Linked DNA regions of Styela clava. The main gene of each other region encodes a partner of the protein of the gene in region 2 in a complex. Links are inferred from orthologs where the notes say so. Each region holds a gene or a part of one and is shown on either strand. Other genes may lie near its edges.

The links. Proteins that work in one complex are often made in the same cells at the same time.
Region 1: gamma-tubulin complex component 2-like (region 2) and gamma-tubulin complex component 4-like share a complex: the UniProt entries of both Homo sapiens proteins name them as parts of the gamma-tubulin ring complex. The link is inferred for Styela clava from reciprocal best matches to the Homo sapiens genes TUBGCP2 and TUBGCP4.

What each region holds. Positions count from the first base shown.
Region 1 is NC_135257.1:8,687,185-8,690,946, reverse strand, and holds the start of gamma-tubulin complex component 4-like, read left to right. Parts: upstream 1-1,006; 5' UTR 1,007-1,659; coding exon 1,660-3,270; intron 3,271-3,666; coding exon 3,667-3,762. UniProt on the Homo sapiens protein: Component of the gamma-tubulin ring complex (gTuRC) which mediates microtubule nucleation.
Region 2 is NC_135255.1:3,626,817-3,630,578, forward strand, and holds the start of gamma-tubulin complex component 2-like, read right to left. Parts: upstream 2,943-3,762; 5' UTR 2,887-2,942; coding exon 2,831-2,886; intron 2,253-2,830; coding exon 2,180-2,252; intron 2,095-2,179; coding exon 2,003-2,094; intron 1,480-2,002; coding exon 1,278-1,479; intron 254-1,277; coding exon 41-253; intron 1-40. UniProt on the Homo sapiens protein: Component of the gamma-tubulin ring complex (gTuRC) which mediates microtubule nucleation.

The DNA of each region.
Region 1 (3,762 bases), on a different chromosome or scaffold from region 2:
AGTTTGTTGACATACTCGTAGGCGCCATTACGGGTGACCGTCGCTATACTTTGGCAAGCTGTATTTCGTTATTGTGACGTCGCAGTGACGTAATTTTTGGATGACGTCATCAGGTAGGGGTCAGGAATCATATATCCAAAAATTGTTACGCCACGCCCACTAGAAGTTATTCAGGTAAGAAAGTACATGAGACCCTATACCGGTACTCGTTTTTGGAGGACCCATTAAACTCAAACTGTTAAAATGAAATATACAAATAAAGCTAATTCAGTAATTATTAGAAGAAAGGTTCATTTTTTGCAAACTAGCCTAAAATGCCAGAACGTCTGCATGTTTTGTTGTGCACAAGCAGACAAGTTTGTATGTTGATCCTTCAGGTCTGCATGTCAATGTATTATGATAATGCTCACACTAGTTCTTAAAATGTTCAAACTTCACCTGCAGTTTTCTGGTATTATAGCAACTTTCTTGAATTACTTCACACGGTGGACTTAAAAAATATATATTACTGTAGTCTATTATCTATCTATCTTTACAGATATACGGTATATAGGCTATTATCATAAAGACATATATTCTGTCAAAAATGAGTTCTCAATTATCTGATGTTGGTATTTTCTCACAAATAATTTTGTCAGTCGACTGGCTTGAAGAAACTACACTTCTCAGTATATTATTGACAATATACTGCATTTGCATCCTACTGACTATTATCACTTGGAAAAGAATCACAATCATGTGTCTGTATTTTCTAATACTTTGCATTGCAATATATTTTGCTGAATGGATTAACAAAAGTGCCGCAAGAAACTGGAAATGGGTGTCTCCAAATCATCAATTTTTTGATTCTTCTGGATTATTTATATCAGCTGTTTATTCTCTTCCGTTACTAATTAATCTAATTATTTTATTAGTTCGAATGTTGACTTTAACAGCTTCTGAAATGATAATGGTCAAACAAATGAAATTGAAAAGTTCAGCTAAAGCATTGCAGAAAAAAGATTCATGAAATTATTGCTATTGTTTTTAGTTATCAATAATGCAATTTGTTATGAAATCCAGCTTAGTGATGTAGTGTCTGACAATCCATTGCTAAAAGTTTTTATAACTGTTTTAGTCTTTTATTTTTCATGAGCCATTTTCACAATTTCAATCTAAAGTCATTGTGCAGGCAGCCACTGCTGTGCAAGAAGCTACGATATTTTAGTAATAGTTACCTAATTTAATTAACCCTGGGTGTTGTGTATGGCACTGGTTTAACGTCTTTCAATTGTGACACCAATTTAGTCCAATCTCTAAAACTTTAGCCACAACCCCAACATGGGGGTAAATATTGAAATATAGTTACTTGAAGCTATAAGGACATCAATAGTTGGTCGAAAACCACCATGCTTTGTAAATTATTCGCACATGTTTACATTTTCAGTCAACTTGGTATTGTTTACTGCGAGTTTTCACACTACCAGTCACTGAGGGAATAGCATCTGCATTCAAGGTTGGCAAGGCAGAAATATGCTGTACTATTAGATATACATCACGTCACACATAGAAGAATTTAAACGCTCTTTTAATATGATTGATTACTATTTTATTCATCTATAATATTAATAGAGGGAACTTTGTATTTCAAAGCATTGATTTTTTAGTACTTCATAAAATATGTTGCACGACCTGATATTTGCATTGCAAGGATATCCTGGAAGTATTTTTAAAGAAACATCAAATGGTATTGTTAGAGTTGTTCCCGGCCTTCCATTCCTATCACCATCAGAAGAATCATCGTTAAATAGACTTCTCAAGCTTTCAACAAAAATTATATTTTTTCAAAAGTTCATTGACACTCACAATTCAACTTTATATGCAGAAGGAGCAGAAAAACATTCTGATGGATTGTTGCATGGATGTTACCTGCAAGCATTGTGTTATGGGCTTGAAGATGTATTAGAATCTTATTATCAGTCCGTTTTAGACATAGAAAAAGAAATACTCGCGGATCCTCTATTAACATTTATGCATGTGTACCATTCGCTAGAACATTATTATTTGCTTTTCGATGCGTTGTATGACTTGATATCTATCGTAAAATCAAGAAAAAGTCATGGTTGTCAGATTCTAAGTACCGTTCATCATGCATCACAAACAGGCAATCGTGTTGTGCTGCGAGCAATGCTAAGAATACAGAAACGGTTGCATTTAGTCATGTATCGACAACTTTCATCATGGTTGCTGCATGGTCTTCTTATTGACAGACACAAAGAATTTTTCATTTCCAAATCTGAAGAGAAAGGACCCAATGACTCTGTTAGCGTGTTCCAGGATACTTTCTCATCCTCTACTCTTGGATCTCAATTGGAAATCTTTTATATTCGAGCAGACATGCTTCCGACATATTTACCCTCTCGTGATGCTGATGTCATTCTTTTTATTGGCTCATCATTGCATCTTTTTGAGAAAGACCTACACAAACAACAAGCACTTCATGTTGGAGGCTCTAGCATGGCAGTTGCATTGAAGGGACTTTCTGCTGATGTTGAGGGAAAGCGCATGGACGGGATTCTCAAAGAAAATCAGCAAGAATTCATGAGGGATTTTCTGTGGTTGCAAAATCAAGATAGATTCTCTTTAGAGGAGTTTGAATCCAGGTTGAATAAAATTCGATCCACTGTAGCAAGAGAACTTTGGGATTTGTGTGTTGTTAAAGCAAAACTAGTGTCTCATTTTATGATGCTAAAAGACTATTACTTGCTTGGACTTGGAGAATTATATCTGGTATTTTTAGAAGAATCTGCGATAGTAATGAGAAAACCCCCAACAAAAACTACGGAGCACGATGTTAACCAGGCATTCTTGAGATCTGCCATCAAAGTACAACTTGAAGAAGATGGTGCGTTACAAAACTTCAAATTAGTTATAGAATCAAAATCTTCTAAAGAATCTGAACAATCTTCTGGTTACACATATGATGCATCAGGAATAATGGATTCTAACGATACATGGTCTTTATTGAGTATCACATTCCAAGTTAAATGGCCATTGCATATCATCTTCACACCACCTGTACTTTCAAAATATAACAAGCTGTTTAAATTCTTGTTGAGGGTTCGTAGAGCCCAACTTGCTTTACAGAATTTGTGGGCACTTCAAATGCAAGAGAAATGTTCACTTATATGTACTGATGATGATGATGCTTCTATCAAACAAAACATTTCTAATCTGACTTTAAGAATGCATATGAGTCATCTGGTTGACAGTTTGCAGTACTATTTACAGGTAATGTATTTTACAGTTGAATCTCTCTGATCTATCTCTGAATCTCTCCGATCTGAATAGCATCAAAATTAAACAGGATCGAATGCAACCGGTTATCTGGGTTTTTGCCATGAATATATAGAGAATTTATCGATACCATTTGTATTGAAGAAAGTAAAAATACTTGCTGATAAAAAACAACAAACCTGGTTAAGATATATTGAGAACTGACTTCATAACAAAATTGTAAAGGGATGCCCTGTATATCTAGGCAATATAGCACCACTTTGGCATCCCACAGCTGAATGTGCATTTGTATAATTCAAATGCTTGCCTTTGGTGTTTCTTTATTGAAGCTTTTTGAATTACTGTATAGTGCAGAAGTTGAATATATAATGAATTAATGCTTTTGTTCAGGCGGATGTATTGGAATCTCATTTTTCTAACCTGCTTTCAAAGATCAAGAATCCTACCTCAACCGATTTTGAGCAGATTGTGTTAGCTCATGATAAT
Region 2 (3,762 bases):
AAGAATGTAATACAATAAAACTTTGAAGATTGAAACTCACTGGATGTTGAGTGCTTGAGTCATATACAAAATCAGCAGTTAAATATTTTCTGCTATTATCACCAGCAAGCCAGTATGGTGATGATGGAATAGGATGTTGACGAGGTCTTCTGGCGTTGTGCTGTTCACGCAGTGTTTTCCTGAATGACTCTGCTGAAGGAATCAAACCCAATGCAGATGATGGTCCCGTGGCTTTTTCTAGAGTACTTCGCAACTGTAGAAACAAAATTTGGCGTCGGAAAATTTTATCAAGGCAAATTTCTCCTTATGTAGGTGAGGATTAGGGCTGAAATTTGTCTAGATGAAATATTTTTCATGGGTGAATATTTCTGCAGAAGAAATTTTCCCAGCACCCAAACATGTTATGTCAGTTTTGAGATATAGGATATGATATATTTAGTTTAAGAAAAATTAATAAAAAGGATTGTATTCATAGGTATTTAGAATCAACCCTTATAATTGATACAATTTCTAATACTATGAATGAATTATTCAACTCAGTATCTCCGTATGATTTGTCATAAAATCATGGTTTCAAATTTCAATGAAAAAAGGTGCAATGTAGCAAATTTACAGTAATTTATTGGCAATTTAATTAATATATACCAATTCAACTTCCTGAAGAAAAAATATGATTCCAATTTTGCCTAATTTTATTTGAATTAAAATAAATTGGAAAATATTCGCATTCGTGTATTTTTTATCACACCATATCTAATTGAAGTTCTGAGTCAAGGATGTTCGAAACTACTAAACGAATATTTTAACAGATTCAAAATAATTGTATTCAATATTTTAAATTCTTGATTTTTGAATAATTCAGAATAATTAGGGTTAATTATGAGCGCTGTGTCCTGTGTGTCTGGCCGGTATTTTTGTGCAAACGATAAGCTGTAGCTAATAATTAACACATGTTCATTGTTCACTATAATTCTGGCTTTTCAAGTTCATGGACTAACGAGATGAAAATGTATTTTAGTCCGCGGAGGGTAGGGTTCTTGGAATTTTGATATTCGACATAGTTGACTAGAAAATGGCAGGAAATTATGATAAATTTGGAAACTATCGAAGCTTTTTTTCGGTCACACAAAACAACTGAGACCCAATACATTTAGACCCAATACATTTAATTCTACAATAGTAGATATTATGTTTTGTGAATGTGAATATTTATTCACCCCTATTCTGTTATATTCAAAATCAAATACCAACATTGGAATTTCCAAAATAAATTTCACCTCAGATATTTCTTTTGGGGTTAATTTTGATCCAGATGGTGGAAGAGTAATATTTGATGTACCAAGGATTGAAGATGGAGAAATAGGAATCATTTTAGCAGCTTCTCCTCTCTCCTCGGCATTTTTTGTCAAGGTGGCATGCAAACTTGGTTTGTTATTCAGGTTTGATAGAAAATGTATCATAGAATCCAAGTTGCGAACACTGAACGAAATAGATTTTTGAAAATAAACTCAAACATGAAAACAAAAAACTTTGTCATTTTAAATCTTGTACTGCCATAGGCAACAGCTGCATAAGCAGCTAGCATAGGTGACGATTTTGCGCAACATACAAAGTTGCTCGGAGTTAATTTTACCGAAACATAAATGGGTTTAAGTCACGAAGTGATGGGGCTGGTGGTCAAAGGTCAGACATTACACAGTGTATTCTCCGACTGGTTTATTTTGAAAATCTACATCATTACGAACAAACTGTTGCATTAATAATCATATTGCAATTGAATTATTATATTTTGACCATAAGGTAGGAGTGAAAAATCTGGAAATTTCCATTTGGAAATACCAGTATGTGGTAAAAGGGTTAAGAAACTAAAGGTTTTTAAATTTGCCTAGACCTATTCTACACCACATTTATCGCCAAATGTTAATATTTCAATGGCCGCTAGTCAAACACAACGGCGTTATAATATACAAATTTTGAAACGAAAAAGTGTTTATTAGCATACTTTTTGGACTTCAGTTCTTCATACTTTTGCAAGAATTCCTTGGGTTTGGAAGCTTTCTCACAAATTTTGACAGCAGAACTATGAGTGTTCACCTTCAATAAAAGTTATTATTCTCTTAAATGATTAGAACAGATTATAATTATCAGAATATACTTCAACACCATGAGTAATACATACTTGTGTTGTGACAAAAGGTGTTCGACTTTTCAGAAGAGTTTCAGTGTGTTCTTCAGCCTTCCCTTTGTCGACTCTGAATGATGATTAAACATTTAATATGAAAGATAGTTTAAAAATAATTTTCAACCGTAACACCATGATTTCATAAAGCATGAATATATATCTTCTTATTACTCTTTTTAGACACAAGATATTCTCAAATTACAAAACACAGTAGATTTATAATGGTGAATTTCCAATGTTCCATTCTAAGATTTTAATATGATGTTGTACAAAATCCATGGATTATAAATTAAATCATTTTTCTGATAAGATGGCATGGCATTATTATATGGCAAATCACGATCTCTGATCCAGCTACCAATCCATGTCATATAAGAGAATAGTATACAAGTTATTCGTCCCATATGCATGGATTTTACAGAAGAAGTCATAAACGACCAGCAGTTATTTATGTGAACCAACTTACGACAGCGGAGAGTCAAGCAATTCCATCACACTGAATTATACTCCATAGGACCTGTGAACTAATGCAGACTAATCAGAGGTGCAATTTCAAGCATGTTCTTAACGCTTATCATAATGTGCCAACCACTTGTGTTAGAGTAAGTTCAAAATTAAAATTTAAACAAATAATCAATACAGACTTACTTCAACAATTGTAAGAGTTGGTTGACATTATGATGAATTCGAAACTCTTCACTCATGTTGGAAATCAGATTTATATTGTTGTAATTTTATTTAAATCTAATGTATGATTTGAAAATATTAGAATGTGAAGGTTATCAAGTACACGTAAGGAACCAATATGAAATTTCCAGCAGAACTTGATTCAGACGATTCATATACAGTATACACAGAAAAAAATCAATGTATCAAAATTGAGGATCACATATTAGGAACTATTCAGAAAGAAGAAATGGCTGTAGTCAAACACTAATAAAATCTAAGGTTATCAGAAAATCATATTTTCGTTGGAAAGACTGAAAGGCAACAGTGGGTCTAGTGTCCGTAGTGTGGTGTAGTTTTAGTGGGTGTAGCGTAACGATATTTGCATATTTCTGACCCCCACCTGACGTCAACCAAAAATTCTATCACTGCGACAACAACAATCGCAAGAAAGATAGCCAGCTTCAGTGAGTTCATTGTCACAGACATCCTTACGGGCCATCGATGCTATATTTTGGCAAGCTTGATTATGTGATTGTGATGTCACAGTGACATAATTTTTGAATGACATAGTCAAGTAATAAGGTAAGGGTCAGGAATGATATATAAAAATTTTTATACCATTCACACTAGAAATACTGGTGGCACTAGACCCACAGCAGCCGTTCCATAGTTCAAGCTTCGTTCAGGATATTGTTTTGGGGATTTGCGGGTAAAAAATTTCATTTGGCTTTCGTGTCCATAGGCTGTATTTCAAATTCTTTAAAAAAATTCCATGATTACAGTTCATTTTTTTTGAAAATAGATGATGGGCAGAGTTAAATTGTAAGCAATATTCTGGTATATTATGTGGAAGTGCATGCATTCACTTCAATGAAAATTATATTCATGGTGGACTCATATTGTGTAATGAT